5 linked regions of the Macaca fascicularis genome follow. The protein of the gene in region 3 binds, or shares a complex with, the protein of the main gene of each other region. Links are inferred from orthologs where the notes say so. Each region holds a gene or a part of one and is shown on either strand. Other genes may lie near its edges.

Region 1 (3,512 bases), on a different chromosome or scaffold from region 3:
CAGTTTCCACCTCTGTAAGGTGGGAGAAATGTTGATCTCTACCTTACAGACTTTTTACACGGATCAACTAAGATGACGTATGTCAAGTGCTCAGCACAGTGCTCAACACAAAGTAAGTCCAAAGACATCAGTGACTGCCGTTATCATTACTCACACCAGGAGGAGTTGTAGATGATGGGAAGGGGCTCTAGGCTGGGATCAGAAGACCTGTATTCTGATATCTGTCCTGCCATAATGGCCAGGTGGCTTTGGATAAATCCCTTCACCATTCACTCTCAGTTAACTTTTTCTAAGGGGAACAAAGGGCTTCAGGGCTCAGGAGCCCAGTCTCTGAAGTCTGACACACCGGAGCGTGAAAACCTGCGTCCACCACACACTTGGGCAAGCCATTTAGCCTTTCTGGGCCTCAGTTCTCTCATCTGTAAAAATGGGGACAATATACACCTGGAAGGATTGTTTCAGGAGGCAGTGAGATAAAATAGAGTTTAAAAGAATATCTGACATGGCAAACTCTCAAAAAATGGTGCTTATTATCATTATTATTCATGGCTATAGTAGGCACAACAATAGACCCTCGAAGATGTCCGTGTCCCGATCCTCAGAACCTGTGAATATGTTACCTTATGTGGCAAAAGGAACTCTGCAGATGTGATAAAGTTAAACTTCGAGATGGGGAGATGAGCCTGATTGATCTGGGTGGGCCTAGCAATAGAAGGCCTCGGGGTCACCAGGGTGCCCCAGCTGAGCACTAGAATGAGAGTCTGTGATCCTGCCTCCACTTCCTCATCCTCCCCATGCACCCCATGCAGGGAGAGTTTTCATGCACAGGGTGTGTTTGGAAGGCTACTGCTCTTCCTTTCTCATCCTGAAAGCAATGCGAGCGAGCCATTTCCTGTGTCAGGGTTTAGTTCCCCTTTCAGGAAACGGGGAAGTGCTGGTTTAGAGTCCCCGGCTGGTAGGAACTCAGCACGGTCCCCCGCCATCACAGCCTCACTGCCCCCAACCAAACACTGGCCCACTTATTTTCAACCCAAAAACTAACAAGTAATTTTCAGAGAGCTCTGAGCTCACTGACGACTATCTGCAGTCACACAAAGGGGACGCCCTGTGTTTACGTCACCTCTGTTGTTCCCAGAGTTGATGATTATTGCTGAGCTTTCTGCCCTCTGAATACACCAGGATCCCTGAACTTAGACCATAAGGTAAATATCTTCCTCTCCAATACATATCAGATATATATCTTCCTCTTCCGACCTGATTTCCAATGCAGGCTTTCCAGCCATCACCAATGATACTAAAATTCTCCGGAAAAAAAGAAAATGTCATTTTATAGAGAAATAAACACACCTTTAGAAGTGTGGGGAATCCTGCACCCTGGCCTGGTCTTACAGTGACCAGCTGTGCTTGATGATATCAACGGCAAACCTCAACCAAGGGCCAAACCAGGCCCCGCGCTCCATGCTGCTCAACCCCCCTGTGGTGCACTGATGTTTAGATCCCGTTCTTTGACGAGACAGTGCACTCGCGAGTGCCAGGCACAGACTTACAGCCACCCCTCCCACAGGTTTGCTTGCTGCCCACAGGGCAGGGCCCAGGGTGATAGACCCAACTGCCAGCACCACGCACAGCTCAGGGAGCTTCAGTGCCAATGAGCTTTCCCTACAGTGGTATAGGAACAAGCCCTAAAGAGTGCCAGACTTTTGCACCCTCTCTTTACAACTGACATTTCTTCTCCCAAGAAAAGAGAAAGTGTAGGTGGGGACAATTTACAATCAGACCCATCTCCCCCTCCCTTGTCACTTAACCTCCCTGCCCAGTTTCCACATCTATAAGGTGAAAAAACCACCACCTACTTCTCAGGGTTGTTGCAAAGGGTAGACATTGTCCATAAAGCACCCGGCAGGATGCCTGGTATGTTCAAGAGGTGCTGTCCAAGCTCCTCCTGTTCCTGAGTTTGGGTGGTGACCCTGGGCACTGAGGGATACCAGAGTCTCTAGATCCACTTGGTTCTTGAGTTTCCGATTGTGAGCTGCTAAATTTCAGAGATCAAGAGGTACCAGCCCTAACTCAAAACGCGTGTCCGTATCTTTTTGGTACAGATAACGAGAGTTTGGATGGTAAGTAACACCTTTAGTTAGCCTTCAGCATATGGTAGCTCCAATTGTCAGTGTACTGTGTGGGAGATAATGAAAGCTAATAGCTAACATCACACGCTTTTGTCCTTTTAATCCTCCTAAAATTGCAATGAGATAGGGGGTGGTGGTAGCCTTAAAACAAGGAAACTGAGTCACATGGAGGCTACACTGCCAGCATATGGGACGCTAACCGAGGTGTGTTCTACTCTTAACCATGGATCTGCACTGACTGCCCTTCCCTTTCTGATTAACTGAGAACATATACCTACCTTCCAAAGGCAGGGCCAACGGGACTGGTAATTCCTGAACATGTTGTAGAAGGAAGGCGGCCAATCCATTCGCTTTCACTGTGGCAAGATCGAGCAGCCTTCTTGCCTACGGGAAAGACAGAAGACATTGTTCCTCCAGGAAGGCTGATGGAGCAGTGTGGGAAGGCTTACTGATTACTACAACTTCATAAGCATCTCTCTTCTGTCCAGAATAAAAGGTCAGAAAAGCAACTGAACAACCACAGAAGTTTCAAGTCGTTAATAGTGTTGGATGGTGAATTGAACACACGCATCCAATCTGGCTCCTACCCAAAACTCACTGAAACAGTGAATAACTGAAAAATAAATGAAACAACATGAAGACATAAACCTACAAAGATAGGGAAAATGATTCTGTAGGCTGTACACCATTTGGAAGAGAAGTGATTTCATCAAGTCTCATGGATTGAATATTTGAATACAATCTCTGCTCAGACTCCCACATCTTCATCTCCAGCCTGAACTGTCCCCCTGAACCCTGGACTTACGCATCCAACTGCCTAGTTTCCATTTCCACTTAAAAGTTTCATAAACACCTCCAACATATTCAAAACTAAACTCCTAACCTGCCCACGCACCTGCCAAACCAACAGCCTTCCTCATCTTGGCTAATATTAACCCCATTCTTCCAGGTGCTCAGCCCCGAAGTCGTGGAATCACCCTCGAAGTCTCTCCTCTGTAATCTGTCAAATCCTGTTGACTCCACCTTCAAAGCACGTCCCAAAGAGCACCGTCCAACAGAAATAAAATGCAGGGCACAAATGCAAGCCGCATGTGGAATTTCAAATCCTCTAACAGACATATGTTTTAAAGTTAAAAGAAATAGATGAATTCACTTTAATCATATATTCTATTTAACCCACAATAGTCCAAACATTACCATTGCAACATGTAATCCATGTAGAAAATAGCAAAATATGGCCGAGCCTGGTGGCTCACGCCTGTAATTCCAGCACTTTGGGAGGCCAAGGCAGGCGGATCCCCTGAGGTCAGGAGTTCCAGAGTAGCCTGGACAACGTGGTGAAACTCCATCACCACTAAAAATACAAAAAATTAGCCAAGTGTGGTG
Region 2 (4,067 bases), on a different chromosome or scaffold from region 3:
TGAGTCCTGGGAACTTGCATCTTAAACTCCCAGGGTGATTTTTCTGCATGTAAGTTTAAGAACTATTAGGAGAGTTTGAATGGAAAGCCTCAGCTTTTTTTTTTTTTTTTTTTTTTTTTTTTGAGACGGAGTCTCCTTCTGACGCCAGGCTGGAGTGCAGTGGCGCGATTTTAGCTCACTGCAACCTCCGCCTCCCGGATTCAAGCAATTCTCCTGCCTCAGTCTCCCGAGAAGCTGGAACTACAGGCTCAAGCCACCATGCCCAGCTAATTTTTGTATTTTTCAGTAGAGACGGGGTTTCACCATGTTGGCCAGGATGGTCTCTATCTCTTGACCTCGTGATCCGACCGCCTCGGCCTCCCAAAGTGCTGGGATAACAGGCGTGAGCCACCGCGCCCAGCCCCTGGAAAGCCTCAGCTTTGATGCAGGGTTAACATTTGCCTTTGGGACATATTTCGTCAGCATCTCGAAGAGTAACCCACATGTAGAGTAACCCATATGTCCTTGAGCAGATGGGAATGCAACAGCCTTCTGGCCAGAACCTGTCTCTCACTTTTTTTTTTTTTTTTTTTTAATTTGAGACGGAGTTTCGCTTCTGTTTCCCAGGCTGGAGTGCAATGGCGCGATCTCGGCTCACCACAACCTCCACCTCCCGGGTTCAAGCGATTCTCCTGCCTCTGCCTCCCGAGTAGCTGGGACTCCAGGTGCGCGCCACCACGCCCGGCTAATTTTGCATTTTTAGTAGAGACGGGGGTTTCGCCATTTTGGTCAGGCTGGTCTCGAACTCCCGACCTCAGGTGATCCGCCCGCTTCGGCCTCCCAAAATGCTGGGATTACAGGCGTGAGCCACCGCGCCCTGCCACCTGTCTCTTTTTCATGCAAGTGTTTTTTGGAATTTGGGGGTTCAGCTGAGCAGGTGCTCCGCTGCTAGTAACTACTCGCAGTTAAAGATCTTTTGACTCTTTCCCCGACACGCTATTTGTCACTGTCGTTTTCCACCACAGAGCCAGGTATTTGCCCTGCCGGCCACGGTGGGGCGCGCGCGGCGTGTGCTGCCCGCTTATCTCTTCCTTCCCTGGTCCGCCTTCGCGCCCTTAAGGAGACAGTTCCTGGGAGTTTCTGCCTTTGGGCTCCAGTTGTTGCTCTCTTCTCGCGAGAACTGCCCCTCTCATCCTCTCCTCTCACGAAGCCCCGCCCGCGAAGAGGTTCCATATTGGGTAAAATCTCGGCTCTCGGAGAGTCCCGGGAGCAGTTCTCGCGAGAGTACTGCGGGAGGCTCCTGTTTGCTGGCTGTGGAACCGCGACCACTGGAGCCTCAGCGGGCGCAGCAGCTGGATCCGGAGTACTGCGACGCAGCTCGGAGTCGGCCTTGTAGGGACGAAGGTGCAGGGAGATCGCGGCAGGCGCAGCCTTGAGCGCCGGAGCGCGTCCCTGCCCTTAGCGGGGCTTGCCCCAGTCGCAGGGGCGCATCCAGCCGCGGCGGCTGACAGCAGCCGCGCGCGCGGGAGTCTGCGGGGTCGCGGCAGCCGCACCTGCGCGGGCGACCAGCGCAAGGTCCCCGCCCGGCTGGGCGGGCAGCAAGGGCCGGGGAGAGGGTGCGGGTGCAGGCGGGGGCCCCATAGGGCCACCTTCTTACCCGGCGACTGCCGCTGGAAAATGTCTCAGGAGAGGCCCACGTTCTACCGGCAGGAGCTGAACAAGACAATCTGGGAGGTGCCCGAGCGTTACCAGAACCTGTCTCCAGTGGGCTCCGGCGCCTATGGCTCTGTGTGGTGAGTGTCGCCGGGCCTGGGGCCGCTGTGGGCAGGGTGGCCCCTCGCGCCCGAGAGCCAGGCCTGCACGACTGCTCTGCGTTGCGTCAAGTGGCAGGAATTTTCCTCGGGGGAGGGCCTTGCTGCCCCTTCGAGCTCTGCCTGTTCTGCACCTCCTGCACCCCTCGCCCTGCACTCACGCGGGTATTGCGGTCCACCGTGTGCAGCGCTCAAGTCCGCTGCGAGAGGTAGGTGGTGGTGCTGGAGCTCGGTTCTGGCTAGCACCCTGCGCCTTCGCCTCTCGGAAGGTTGCTGCTCGGCGGCAGGCACCGGGGGAAGGGCTGCTTCCTTGGGGGTCTCCCTCCGGACCTGGAGCAGAAGGACCCTCTCCCGCGATGCGCCCACGCTGTGGCGCCGGACCCTGTCCTCTGAGCAGACAAGCTTGGGGAGCTGCCGGGAGAAGCAGAAGGGCAGAGCGCAACCCGAAGACTGCGGTCATCTAAACAAAACTGACCAGGAAGGGAGCTCTCTCCGGGCCTTTTTTTTTTTTTTTTTCCCCAAACCTCTGTCGAAATCCCATCTCGAGAAGTGTTCTTTTTGAATTCGCACTTGAATTAGCAGCGATCCATAGAGCTTAAAATACCGACTTTATCTCGGTGAACACTGTGCCAGCTTGAGTGGTGTGTTTCCGATTCGGTTGAAAGCGTATTTCCTTTCTGTGGAGGGGCGGCGGTGGTAGTGCCTGCAAGAACGCTGCAGCTTGAGAAACTGGCAGTCTCACTGATTAGTCACATACCACTGCTCATTTAAGTATTGTTCGACAAAACAGTTTTTTCATTTGGAGCAAGAAAGATTCAGATCTGTAAGGCGCCCTCAAGATCAAAAAATTATTAACAGTGCTAGGAGGTATTGTAAGTATTTTTTGAGATAATTCCTGCGAATACTGTGTTTTAAAAGTCCCTTTCAGAGTTTGCAGGGATTTATCTAGTTATCTGCATTTATGGCCTGAGGTACACGATGGTTTTCGTAAGGATATGGAACCACATAGAAAAGGAAGGGAAGAGATACTTTTTAGCTTTAATTTACACCGTGAGTGTGTTTTAAATTAAGTCGATACCATGTAATTTCCAGACCTGAAATATTTCACTAACTGCTCTCTAATTTTCAAGGTTTTATACCCTGTATTTTAGATTTTCTATAATTTAAAAGCTACGGATCTGAAACTAAATATCAGATTTAACTGTTAGCTTTTTCTGTGTTTTAGTAATTCGTATTGTATGCGTCATTTGAAAAGGGGCCTGTAAAATAGTTTTTTGTTTTGGAACAAATTCCAGGCTTTTGGATGTGTTAATCTTTAAATATGATTTCTGTGTTTCCCAAAGTCACATCATGAATTTCCTGTTTGGTAGAATCTTCTGGGTAATTGAGATTGTGCAATTGTGTCCAGTAACAGATCATATTGCATTTTCTAGTTCAAGCTGCTTAAGTTATGTTGCAGATGGCACCGTGCGTGACATCTTTCTCCCATTTTTACAGCATGGCAGTTTACATTTTAAAGGAATTTGCAGGATTTTACATTCAGAGTGTGTGTGTGTATAGTTGATTTGCAGCATTTTACATTCGATATATACATGTTAATATATGTATATCCATTCAGTATATACATATTATGTATATCTAGTTGATTTGCTAATTTTCAAAGATGTATTTGGATCATTGTTCTTTTAATATTTTATAGCTCATTAATATACTTCCATTTTTTCATTCTTGAATTGACACATTCATTTCTGTAGTATCACGTTTTTGTTTTCAATGCTATTTAAATTTTAATGGAGTGATAACAGCAGAATAACTCATCTATAGAGGGTTTGGGTGAACTCCAGTTGAATTCCTCGCAAAGGTTCAGTACTGTTGGTGACTAGCTCTGCACTGGAACAGGAGATCCAGATTTACAGTGAAGTACCATTAAAATTAACTCCACATTTCTTTAGTGGTATATTTTTCTGTGGTATAAAAGCCAGCAGAGGCCGGGCGCGGTGGCTCAAGCCTGTAATCCCAGCACTTTGGGAGGCTGAGACGGGCGGATCACGAGGTCAGGAGATCGAGAAAGTCCTGGTTAACACGGTGAAACCCCGTCTCTACTAAAAAATACGAAAAAGTAGCCGGGCGAGGTGGCGGGCGCCTGTAGTCCCAGCTAACCGGGAGGCTGAGGCAGGAGAATGGCGTAAACCCGGGAGGCGGAGCTTGCAGCGAGCCAAGATGGCGCCACTGCACTCCAGCCTTGGCGACAGAGCGAGACTCCGTCTCAAAATAAAA
Region 3 (3,512 bases):
AAGTGCTAATAAAAATCAAAGTCTGAAATTCTCCCTGGTTTTTACTTTTTCTCATAGGATACTACAGACACAATCCCCACAGAGTTCACACTTGCTTGAGTTAAATTCTGACCACTGAGCCAGAAAGAGAAATAATTCTAGCCCATGTGGCCAAGGACACAGCACCCAAATGAAAAGAACATCGCCAGGCATCAGCTTACAGCCACTCCCATTCTTCTGAAATGCCAACCTGCCAGGGCCCCCAAAATAGACTTGTTGTTGTGGCTTTCTTTTAAAAAAGTAGAGACCTTCTCATTTAAATTCTGAGACAACAGTCAACAAATATTTATCACTAACAATCCAAAACATTAATAAAACTAAAAAGCTAAAGTCATCAAAAATTCTGGGATTCCTTAAATCCCTCAACTGGGGAGGGAAAAGATTATAAATGGCTAAAAGCCCTTTACTAGGGAAAATGACCACTGTATTTAAATTGCGCTTCTTCCAAAGCAACTTCTTTTGCTCCATTGATTCATTTCTCTCCATAACCCTCCCCCACACTCTTAATACATACATGTAAAGGGATTTTCAAAAATTGAAAAGAACAGCAAAAATAAACAATAAAGACAAAACAGGCTACTTCTTACCTACAAAAGCCTAGGGGCAAGCATGGAGATGGGTATTCCGTCTACAGCTGGTAACAGGTGGTGGTATAAAAGTGTGCATCAAACTGACCTTTAAAGACTTCAAGAGTCGAGATTGTGTCCGACTCCCGTTTCAGCTTCAGCCTCAACCCCGGATAAGAAGTTTTATTCAGATAGTTTATTTCCACCGAGCAATAGCGGTTTCTCTTTGCTGTCTCGGAACATGATTACCCACAGATGGAACAGGCTGCTGTGTGAGCAATCTGCTCAGTGCAGCTGCTTCACCAAGATAAAGCAGACACAAGGTCTGCCCTGTGACAGCAGCTCAGCAGACTGGGCTTGGGCGGAAATCCTGCATCCTATCCCCTGCACTGTGCAGGGTCTTGAATTCCCAGACTGCTGCCCAAAAGCAACAGGCAATGGAACTAGAGGTCCGTTCCCCAAGCAGGAAAAGGAAGGAGTTCCCTGTCAACAACACCCCTAGCTCAAAAAAAATAATAATAAAATAAAAGCACACAAAAAAACCAATGACCTAATACCACCATTCTGGGTGTTGAGATGTCAGGTTAGAACAATACTTATAGCTGTTCATGAAACCACTCTGACTCTAAATTTGCTCAGAATACAGACTAGGATGACAGGGGAGGAAGGGAGTTTCAGGCTTGTAAATAGAACACAGCTTTTTGGCACTGTTTTCTATGGTACCAGAGAAAAGGATTAAGCCATGTGAATAAAAACATCTGCTAAATTCCTTCATCATTTTGGAATACCTGTGATCTAGGCATTGTTTTCCAGGTTTGCAAAGTTGCAACCACTCCAGAATGACAGATAAGAGTGTTTATAAGCTTAAGCAACCAAGCAGTTAAGTCTACAACACAGGAAACAAAATCTGTGCAACCCTGAGATGACGTGCCTCTCCTGATGGTGGTGACTATTAACTTGACTACCCACCCAATGAGTGCAAGACCTCAAAACAACAAAGATGCCTATATTTTTACCAGGACACCACAGTGACTCTTAAGGGAATCTGCTGCTCAGACTGCTAATTTTGTATTATGTTTTGCTTACCTGTTGCTGGCTCAGGCCCTTGGACAGGTAAAATAATCTTCTCTGGCTCCTCCCTTTCAGCAAAACATCCTGCAAGGCTCCCTGTGGCTTCCTCAGGAGTACAGCCCATTGGCAGGCTCTCCCCAGGTGGGAAAGTACTCACTTTTTCTGTAAAAGCATTCTCTAGCCCTTCAGTGAGAGGACCCAACAACTTAGGCCTGGACAGTGACATTTGACAGGCCTCCCCCTCAGTAAGCAGTGCTCCAGCGGCCTTGACTTGTTCGATGACGGCATCCACTATACGGCTGGCAGCCTCCTCTATCAAGTCTGCTCCCTTAGGCAGAGGTGTGGCCTGGGCAGAGACCATGCAAGGTAGAGAGGGAGTGCTCCTTTCCCCGCCTGAGGGCAAGGCTTGCAGGACTTCCCTCGCGCCAGCTGGGGCCTCATCATCATGGGATGAGAGCCCCATGTCTGTGGGGAGCTCTTTGGCAGCAGGCTGCAGTAGGACAGGATGTGCTTCAGTGTCTATCTGGGCTTCCTCAGCATCGCCCCTGGTACAGCTGTGGTCTGCTCCCTCCAGCTTCCCTTTCTCCCAATCAAGAGGTACCATCTCTGGGGTTCCAACTCCCTGTGGGTCAGTCACAGCTTTGTCCCGTAAAGCTACTGGCAAACCCAGGATGACATTCTTCTCTTGGTTCAACAAGACGTCTGGAATCAGGATATCTTGGGTGTTGTGTGATACATTCTTTCTTCTGGGAACAGCCATCCCTTGTAGAGCATTAACCTGTGTAACATCCACCGTCACATTTCCATTCACCTCACAGGCACTAGTTTTCCCCTGGGATTGGGTGTTCTTTACTCCAACATCCAGAGGAGAAGGTTGACTGCAATTAAGAGCCTCAGACCCATTAGATCCATCTGGCAACAGACATGGCAACAAAGTGGAGCTGTTGTGCTCTGCACCCAAGGCTTCCTGCCTTAAGTCTGTGGCCAGACTCGCTCCTGGTGGCACCAGGCTCTGGGCAGCCCCACCTTGAATCAGCAGTGAGACTTGTGGGGCCACTTCCTTGTTATGTTCAGTTTCTGCCTTAAGACAGACAGAGGGTGCACCCGGTGAATTACTTAGCTGAAGTGCTTTGTCCTTGGCACCATCAACTGAGACCGATTTTTCATGAAATTGTAGAGTCTCCTGTCTGGGAGGTGGTGTTCTCTGCTCTTCCTGCAACATTCCTGAAGAAAGAGCATTTTCCTTAATGGAGGAACAGGTCACTGCTATATCCTTATCTTGTTTCTGAGTTGCAGAGCTTTCTGAAACCACCAGAAGTTTTCCCTCTTCTGTCAAAACTGAATCTAAAGCCAAAGTGGCCTTACCCACACTTTGCAGGGAAGAGTCAGTGTCCCCCTTGATATTCAGAGCTTCTGGGATTGCTGGAGGGGCGGGACCCTCACGCTCTCCACCAAGTCCTGTGAGACTGGTATTCCCCATCCCACGCTGAAGCTCTGCAGCAGTGGAGGACGTGGACAGGTCTGCTGCCCTATCTTCTAGTGGCTGTGTATCAGGCTCATTCGAATCTCCGTCTGGGCCATCTCTACAATCTGTAGCCATATGTAGTTCAGGAGTTGCTGTTCCCTTTTCTTTCTGGGAGGGGACAAAAGAAAGTGCGTCATCCTTGGTTACTGATTCACTGCCTGGATTGTTTGCCAGAGAGAAAGTACTATCTGATATTACTGCCTGGTCTGGCACCAGTTCTTTCTCCATTTTAGGGACAACTGGATGTGGATGTGAAACCACCTCAAGCATATTTGTTAAAGGTTTATCTAGTTTCACATCTTTTCGTTGGC
Region 4 (4,245 bases), on a different chromosome or scaffold from region 3:
TGGAGGAATTGGTATTGGAACTCACACCTGTCTGAGCCCCAGACTCATGATTTTCCATCCCACTGCCTGTGAACAGGAGACGCAGGAAGAGAATGGTGACGGCTGCAAGGCTTCCCTCCTATCTCATGTGGCCCTCCCCGCTCTGTGTGCATGGGGCCCTGCATCACCCCCACTTTACACCTGGGCAAGCAGAGGTCAGGCCCGGCCTCAAGCGTTTCTAGCAGGTGGTGGAATCTGCTTCCCTCACGTGAGGTCCCCGACAGGGTACACACTCATGTCTGCCTGGAGGCCAGGGGCTGACCCCTTGACCTTTGCCTGGTACCTTCTGCCTTCACTAGCCCTGACTTTACATCCAGAGTCATCTGATCCCAGCGCCAGATTGGTCAGCGGTTCCTGAAATCCCCCAAGGTTCCGTGTGGGAGCAAAGAGAGGACTGGTCCATCCAGCCATTATACAGATGGGCAGACTGAGATCTTAGGAGGAGAGGAGAGAACCAAGGTCCAGGAGAGAGCCAGGATGGGGCCTCCGGGCTCGTGGGATAAAATGCACCGCATGCTGCCTCACTCCCTCTGAGACAGTTTCCCCCGGTGTAGAACAGGGGCAGCAACAACCAGCCACGACAACTCCTCGTGCTGCCTCGTCACCGGGCATCGCTGAGCTCACCACCAACCCCGCGCCCTGGCCGGGCGCCTGGAGCGCGGGCGCGGGCGGACGTTTGCTGGCGCCGGGCCCTCAGTGCGTGTCAGCGGGCAGCGCCGTCAGACGGCTGTCACCGCCGCCCGCTCACAGATGCGTAGACTGAGGCTCAGGTGTCACGACCTGACCAAGGCTAGTTCCGCTACAAAGTTGCCGACTCGCATCTGAACCCGGGTCAAATTTACAGAAAAGGAAACTGAAGCCCAGAGACACCAGGGAGCTTGCTGGGGTGAGGCAGCTGCAGGTTCAGAGAGCCAGGAGGCAGCCCAGCAGCGCACTTTTAACCCCCGCCCGCCTCGCCAGGCCCAGCCGTGCCACCTTTAGGGATCTCGGGTTTTTTCCAGACGACGCACCCGGGAGAACGCGCCCACTCATCGCACCCGCCGGGGCTGCGCGTCTGGGGGTGCTGGGCGGAGCCTGGCGCTTGCAAGGAGCAGCGGGCTCAGTGGGTCCCGGGAGTGGGTGGGGCTTGCGTGTTGACGGGCAGCGCGAGGGGCGCGGCTTTAGTCCAGGTGGGCGGAGCCTGACCGGACTTGGGTTTTTCGGGCGGCTGGCAGACTTGACAGAGAGCGGGAGGGGCCCGGATCCTGGGCCCACGGAGGGTGGGGCGTGTAATTGACAGGCAGGGACAGACCGGCGTCTGATAGGCAGGGGACGGGCCTTGGAAACGAAAGGGCCAATCGGACACGCAGGGGCGGGGCCTGAGTCAGCGCCGTTCGGCCGGGGTCCCCCCGGCGCTGCCCAGTCTGGCTCCGGCGCCGCCCGTCGCGGACTCGTCCCTGCAGTAGTCGCCGCCGCCGCCTCTGCTCCTCCGCCTGGCCCGGGCCGTCTGCCCGCAGCCATGAGCGTGCTCGGCCCCGGTGGAGCCCGCAGTCCTCTAGATTAGTCCCCACCGCCGTCCAGGACCAGCTTGCAGCATGGAGTCGCCCGCCTCAAGCCAGCCCGCCAGCATGCCCCAGTCCAAAGGTAGGCGATCCCGGCCGGAACCTCGGCCTGACCCCGCGCCCAATCTGGGGCCGGGCTGCAAACCCCGACCGAATTTCTTTGGTCCCACCCCATCCTGTTCTCGACCTGGCAGCGGCGTCCGGTCCCGGAACCCCTTCCTGTTCGGGGCCCCGGGACCGGCCGCAGCCTGGGTCCTCACCTGGACCCCCAGGTTAGGCCTTGGGACTGCATTCAGGCCCGAGATCACCCAGGCTGGACCCAGACTAGGACTTTGTTCTGCTCACCCCATCCAAGTCAGGAGCCTCACTCTGACCTCATTTGGGCCTTATGGCTGTAGCCTGGACAGGAACTCTCTCAGTCTTCTCCCTCAGAGGGACCCAGGTGAGATTCACACTGGCCTCCATCTGCGTCCTTGGGCAGCACCCACTCCCATTTCCAACTTGGGGTCCCAGGGCTGTATCCAGGCTGGGATTTAACTTAAGTCTCCATCTGGGCCCCAGAGTGCTTCTGTTGTTTCGGACCTCACTGTACCCGCTATGCGGGTGCTCTGGCTACACCCCAGCTCGGAACTCCCCGTCCTTCTCTCCTCCAGCTCTTCTTATCCTTATAGGCCCTATGTTGCCCCTTCCCTGGCTGGCCTGCACCCTGTCCTGCAGCCCTGTGCTCCCAGGAACCTCCCTTGTCCTCCCACCCCTCCCTAAGGTACAGCCCCCTCTCTACTGGCTTCTCTCTGTCTTGAGTTGCAAGCTTCTCCCTGCACTTGGGGTTCTCACCCCATCTTATTCCTCTCCTGGCTGCCTGGGATCTGGGCCAACCGCCAGGCCAGGGTGCTGGCTGTGCAAGGGATTTGCTCTTCTCCAAGTAGCTGGCCTTCCTGGAAATTTTTGTGAGGTGGCAGCAGCAGCAGGATTTGTCATGCGGAGGGGGAAGGATGAGACTCGGAGGGCAAAAGGGGAATTTTTTTTTCAGGAAGAGGAAAGGATGTTTTTGGTGCGTCGGAGTTTCAGTAGGCTGGGTTGTGTGAGAGATTTCCAAACCGGACGTAGCCGTAATGAATGGGCTGCCTCCTGCCTAGCTGAACCTGCAGCTGCTTCACCCCAGCAAGCTCCCTGGTGTCTCTGGGCCTCAGTTTCCTTTTCTGTAAATTGGAAGTAATCACACCTGCTTCTGTGGACGCGGGAGTGTGGCGTGGGGTGGTGAATACAAAAGAGCTCTGAGGTGTTCACTCAGCATAGCGCCTGGCGGAGAGCCGGTGCTCACCAGGGGACACTGGCTGCACACATCTCGCTATTGTTTCCATTCTTCTTGCTGGAAAGGCCTCCACTGCTGGAACTGCAGCCGCAGAGTGAGCAGGAGGAAGCATCTAGCAGCGGGCACCTAGTGGGCCCCTCATCGGGGATCAGCCGCTCTTCTGCTCTGGAGGGCGCAGGCCAGTGGGAGCCCTGTGGGGGCTTGGGGAGGGCACGGGCTCTTCCTGGCCCCTGCTGCTGGCTGCTGTGGTGGCTGGAGCCGGGTGGGCAGGATAATTATGCCTTACATAAGTGGGAGGCCGGATCCCTGACCATTGCCCAACCACTGTGAGTAACTCAGGAGGCACTTGAGGGGGGAGGTGTCTGGGGAGGGACTTGCACTGCCCAGACCTCGTGGAGCTTGGGAACCAGGAAATCAGACACTTCTCCACTCTGGAGAGCCTGGGGAAGGGTAGGAAGCCCTGTTTGTTTTGGAGGCTTTTTAGCTCTCCAGGCAGAGAATGCCTGATCAAAATAAAAGTTCCAGTTGCAGAGTTGTGAAGGGAGAGGGGTCATAGATGTGGTGAGAACGCTGTGAGAGGGCCAAGATGAACTTCTAGATAGGGACCCAGGTCGCAGATGAAATTGAGGGAGCTGGATGGAGGGTCAGGGACCTCCCTCAGGCCCAGCGACCCTGTAGTCTCTTTGGGATCTGGGGAAGGATGTGGTGACAGAGCCGCAATGCCCTTCACCAAAAACGCTATGAGCTTCTTCTTTTTTTCCATGTGCCATGCATTTTCTCATTTATTCCTCATAGCCCCATTTATAGACAAGGAAACTGAGGCGTTAAGTGCCTTGCCTGAGGCCACGCAGCTGTGACAGGCGGAGCTAGGGTTCCCCCTAGGACTGCATCCCCACAGTGGCCTTCTCCGTGCTCCCTTATGTGCCCCTCCCATGCTGGATGCCTGAGCTGAGCTGGTGGGGTGCCCCCACCCCTGGCCTTGCTCAGAGCATGTGCAGTGGGCCTGTCCTCATGGCCATGTCAGACCTAGAGGACAGACTGAGGCAGAGGTGCTGCTGCTCTTGTGCACAGTGCTTTACACTGGGCCTGTTGCATACTCGCTGCAAAATCCCACTCATTTGACAGATGCAGAACTGAGCTTGGATGGAGTAGCCGAACTGCTCCCACAGGTGGAGATCCTCACCCCGTGCCTGCCCCATCCTGGGCACTGGGCCTCCCAGCACTGAGCCCTTCTCCACCTTCTCAAAGGAATTTGAACAAAGCAGGGAGTGGCTGGCGCTTGACCTTACTGGAGCTTTACCTTTGAGCTTCCTGCCTTGCAGCAGGTACCCTGCCCTATCCTTCCTGCCATGG
Region 5 (4,195 bases), on a different chromosome or scaffold from region 3:
GCAATCTTGTCTAACTGCAACCTCCGCCTACTGGGTTCATGCCATTCTCCTGCCTCAGCCTCCCAAGTAGCTGGGATTACAGGCACACGCCACCACACTCAGCTAATTTTATATTTTTTAGTAGAGACGGGTTTCACCATATTGGCCAGGCTGGTCTCGAACTCCTGACCTCCAGTGATCCACCCACCACCACCTTGGCCTCCTAAAGGGCTGGGATTATAGGGGTGAGCCACTGCACCCAGACATTTTTTTTTCTTTCTTTTTTTTAGACAAGGTCTCGCTCTGTCACCCAGGCTGGAGTGCAGGGGCATCATGATTGCTCCCCACAGTGATGCATTCTCGGCCTCTTGAGCTCAAGCGATCCTCCTGCCTCAGCCTCCTGGTAGCTGGGACTACAGGCATGCGCTACCATGCCTGGCTGGATGGATTCTAGATCAGAATATTCTCCTCCTTCTCTCTTTCTGTTGTTAATATCCCCCAAAGAGTTGCTCAGATGAAAAAATAAGAGAGAAAACATCGCGCCCTGGTTTCCGGGACGACTGAAACCACGCAGAGCCACGCGTAGCTAAGGTACCCACAGCCCACGGCGCTTCCTCGGGTCCCAAAGGGCGCCAATGTGCAGACACCGCCGCCAGGGAGCGCTCCCCGCCGGAGCCCCGGAGACCAAGGTTTGGCTCCCTCGCCTGGTTTCCGAAGGAGTGAGGGTCCGACGGCAGCCGTAAACAAAGCTGCACGCTCTGCAGACCCCGGAGATCCCCTAGAAATTCCTCAGAGGCCTCCACTCTCCGCATGGGCACGAGTCTGCATTTATGGAGCGCCATCTGCATGCAGCAGCCCCGAAAAAGAAGGCGGTGCCCATTTTATTGTGTGGAAAACTGAGACTCAGAGGCCACAGGGGTTCCCAGGATGAACAGCGAGTTGGGATTCAAACCTCTTTTAATAACAATAACGATAATAGAGGTCAGGCGCAGTGGCTCAAGCCTGTGTAATCCCAGCACTTTAGGAGACCGAGGCGGGCGGATCACCTGATCAGGAGTTTGAGACCAGCCTGGCCAACATGATGAAACCTCATCTCTACTAAAAATATAAAAATTAGCCGGGCATGATGGCGGGCATCTGTAATCCTAGCTACTCAGGAGGCTGAGGCAGAAGAATCGCTTGAACCCGGGGGGCAGAGGTTGCAGTGAGCCGAGATCGCACCACTGCACTCCAGGATGGGCAATAGAGCGAAACTCCGTCCAAAAACAGCAAAACAACAAACAATTACGATAACATTAAAAGTGACAGCAGCTAACACTTATGGAGCGTCTAGAGTGTTCTCAGCTCTTGGCCTGCACTGTCTCATTGAATTTTACCAACACCTAGGAGGTGAGCGCATCATTCCCATTTCACAGATGAGGTGCCTGGAAGGATTTGGCTTCCCCAAGGCGTAAAGCGCTGGCATTTGAATGCAGATCTGCCCAGAGCTTGTCTCCAGGTAACGGGGAAACTTCCATGCCCTTGAATAGGGGACCACAGATGCAGGCGTCCCGAGCTTGCAAATGCACAGGGATGGGGTGGGGTGGGGGGGTTATTTTTTTTTTTTCAGGGGTTCTGGGAGGCCCAAAGGCCTCCGCCGCTCTCGGCTTGAACGCGGGGAACCGTTCTCCTCGGGTTCCCGCGCGCTCCAATGGGGGACCTCTCGGCAGCGTGCGGTCGTCGCAGGACCCGGAAAGAGGAAAGGTGGGGAGCCGATCGGGGTGCTCCGAGCTCGGGAGACTGAGGGGGCGGGCGGGCGGGACCCCGCAGCCCCGGGGGCCTCTGGGAGCCCCTCCCCCTCGGCCCCGCCCCCTCCCCGGGCGCCGACCTCCGGGGTCACGTGACCGGGCCCGGCGGCCGCTGGGGCTGGAGGGCGCGGCGCGGGGACGCGGCGGCCTGGGCAGGCGAGGCGGGAGCCTAGCAGGCCGGAGCGGGCCGCGGGCCGGGGAGGGTCGCGCCGCGCCCGCCCCCTCCCCGCCACGCCCGGGGCGCACGCGCGCTCCTCTGGCCGCCCCTCCCTCCGCGCGGGGACCCCTGGCGGGCGGCAGGAGGACATGGCCAGCGACGCCTTGCAGGTAGGCGCACCTGCGTCTGGAGTCCCGGGGCGACCGGACGGCTCCAGGGGACCCCGCCCTCGCGCTCCCGGGGGAGCCCCCCAGCCCCCCGAACGGGACTCGGGTGGCGATGGCTAGGGCGGGGACCTCCGGAGCGCCCGGCGCCCCCTCCCTGGGCCGGGACTGTGGAGCCAGCGAGGCCCCCTTCTCGGCAGGTGGCGATGTGGACGGGGCTGGTTTGGGGGCAATCTCGGAGGCACCCCCCGCTGCACCCCCAAACTCGGCCTCTCCCAGAGAACTAGAAGGGGCGCGGCGGAGGCTCTACTTCGGGTGTCTGTGGCTGGCTGGGAGTCCCGGTGCCTCTCGTCCGCCCCCAAACTCATCCCCCTCCCCAGGGTTGGGTGCCCGGCAGGTGCCGCTCCACCTGGGGCAGGTGCCTGGCGCAGTGCCGTGGGAGGGGAGGAGGCCGCCGGGCCCGGCCCGTGCCCTTCCCCCGCATAACAAAGCTCCAGCCACCCCCGCCTCTAGACAGCTTTATAGTGTTCCAGACGCCACCCAGATTGGCACCTGTTGGCGGAAGTACCCGAGTCACTGCATTAGGTCGGGGGACTGGGGACCCCCGCTCCTACTCTTGGACTGTCAGGTGGAACCTTCTCCCGGGTGGGGAGTGCCTCAGTCAACAGGCCAGGGATGCTCCCATATATAGAATCCTACTTTTTTGCATGGTGGCTGGGCAGGGCTGGGTCACCCCCACCCTCCTAACACACACACGTGACTGGCACCAGCCTTCTGCCCAGCCAGATTCCCCCGTGCCACCTGGTTGGTATCACTGACCTGGACTCATCTTCCCCGTCTGTGACAAGCAGGGCCAGCGTGACTGCCAACCTTCTTTGGTTCAAGTGACCCAAATCTGAGAAATGTCTGTGCCTCGGTGCCCCCATTTGCACCTCACCATCCAGTTCATCGTCCTGTGGCTGTTGTGTAACTGGGTTCTCGTCTCCTTCTGCACCTGCCCCCTGCCCCTCTGTGTCTCCCCCGTAACCCCCGGTCCCTCCCACCTCCCCAGTCCTGCTGATGGCCTGCCGGCCTTGCCGAGGAGCTGGGCGTATCTGGTGTTGCCGATCACACAAGGTCAGACCTCAGGGCCGGGATGGGCCGGGGTCCCTGCCTCCACCCCCGGCCCAGGGAGGGCTGTGTAGGAATCCCCGGGCGCATGCATGCGCTTGGCGCGTCCCACACATGACCCAGACAGGCTGTGATTCCTGCAGTGAGGCTGGACCCACGCCCTGGTCCCCCCTTCCCATCTCCTCCTTAGTCTCTTCCCTCCTCCTGGTCATCCCTCTCTCATGGTTGCTTGGGCCTGCCGCCCTGTCCCTCTATCTGTCCCAACGTGTGCCTGTCTGTTCTGTGTCCTGCAAACGGATGTCCTGTCCAGATTCCGGAAACGCCCAAGGCATTGAAATCTCCGGATGTGGGGGTCTAGGTCCCTGGCTGCTCTGGCAAGATGGGGATTCTGGGAGGCAGGTCCTCTGGGTCTGAGGTCTCCGCTCCATGGTGGGCAGCAGAGGAGCAGGGGTTCTCCATAGGCCAGGCCAGGCCCCTGAGTCCTGGGTTTGCCTTGGTGGCCCTCAGGTGACCTGTATGCCCTGGGAAGAAGTGAGTCACTCAGGGGAGGAGAACCCAGGAGCCCAGCCTCCCTCCCTCTCTGCATTACAGACCTCAGCTGCTGGAGGTGGGGCCGAGGGAGGCCACCTTTCCTCTCTGCCTGGACTTCCCCAGTTGAGCTGACCCCGCTCTTGGCTGTGTCCTCCCTCTGCCTGCTGGGGATGGGGTGGGGCCTGACTGAGTGAGGGTGGTATTTGGTGAGCCTGGGCTTAAATTCCGACGCTGACACTTCCTTGCTGTGTGTCCTGGGCCCAGTGCCTTCGCCTCTCTGAGCCTCGGTTCTGACCTAGGAAAAATGGGACTAAGAGGGTGTTCATGGGAGAGAGAGACCGAGACCTGGCCAGCACTTGGCAGGCGGGGCTGCTGTGAAGTCATTACTGGTAAGCGTCCTGGTCAGCAGCTCAGGGTGTGAATCTGTGTCCTTACTGATTGATTTACTTGTTTATATTTATTTATTT

Evidence for each region.
Region 1: AKAP13 (region 3) and NOD2 share a complex: the UniProt entries of both Homo sapiens proteins name them as parts of the signaling complex. The link is inferred for Macaca fascicularis from reciprocal best matches to the Homo sapiens genes AKAP13 and NOD2.
Region 2: AKAP13 (region 3) and MAPK14 share a complex: the UniProt entries of both Homo sapiens proteins name them as parts of the signaling complex. The link is inferred for Macaca fascicularis from reciprocal best matches to the Homo sapiens genes AKAP13 and MAPK14.
Region 4: AKAP13 (region 3) and MAP2K3 share a complex: the UniProt entries of both Homo sapiens proteins name them as parts of the signaling complex. The link is inferred for Macaca fascicularis from reciprocal best matches to the Homo sapiens genes AKAP13 and MAP2K3.
Region 5: AKAP13 (region 3) and PKN1 share a complex: the UniProt entries of both Homo sapiens proteins name them as parts of the signaling complex. The link is inferred for Macaca fascicularis from reciprocal best matches to the Homo sapiens genes AKAP13 and PKN1.

The regions. Positions count from the first base shown.
Region 1 is NC_088394.1:46,666,537-46,670,048, reverse strand, and holds part of NOD2 (nucleotide-binding oligomerization domain-containing protein 2), read right to left. Parts: intron 2,511-3,512; coding exon 2,405-2,510; intron 1-2,404. UniProt on the Homo sapiens protein: Pattern recognition receptor (PRR) that detects bacterial peptidoglycan fragments and other danger signals and plays an important role in gastrointestinal immunity.
Region 2 is NC_088378.1:135,643,544-135,647,610, reverse strand, and holds the start of MAPK14 (mitogen-activated protein kinase 14), read left to right. Parts: upstream 1-1,259; 5' UTR 1,260-1,656; coding exon 1,657-1,772; intron 1,773-1,888; exon of another isoform or gene 1,889-1,999; intron 2,000-4,067. UniProt on the Homo sapiens protein: Serine/threonine kinase which acts as an essential component of the MAP kinase signal transduction pathway.
Region 3 is NC_088381.1:70,017,360-70,020,871, reverse strand, and holds part of AKAP13 (A-kinase anchor protein 13), read right to left. Parts: coding exon 1,692-3,512; intron 1-1,691. UniProt on the Homo sapiens protein: Scaffold protein that plays an important role in assembling signaling complexes downstream of several types of G protein-coupled receptors.
Region 4 is NC_088390.1:20,712,130-20,716,374, forward strand, and holds the start of MAP2K3 (dual specificity mitogen-activated protein kinase kinase 3), read left to right. Parts: upstream 1-1,439; 5' UTR 1,440-1,613; coding exon 1,614-1,662; intron 1,663-1,795; exon of another isoform or gene 1,796-2,022; intron 2,023-4,245. UniProt on the Homo sapiens protein: Dual specificity kinase. Is activated by cytokines and environmental stress in vivo. Catalyzes the concomitant phosphorylation of a threonine and a tyrosine residue in the MAP kinase p38.
Region 5 is NC_088393.1:14,864,329-14,868,523, forward strand, and holds the start of PKN1 (serine/threonine-protein kinase N1), read left to right. Parts: upstream 1-1,392; 5' UTR 1,393-1,494; coding exon 1,495-1,722; intron 1,723-1,873; exon of another isoform or gene 1,874-2,072; coding exon of another isoform or gene 2,073-2,093; intron 2,094-2,287; exon of another isoform or gene 2,288-4,117; intron 4,118-4,195. UniProt on the Homo sapiens protein: PKC-related serine/threonine-protein kinase involved in various processes such as regulation of the intermediate filaments of the actin cytoskeleton, cell migration, tumor cell invasion and transcription regulation.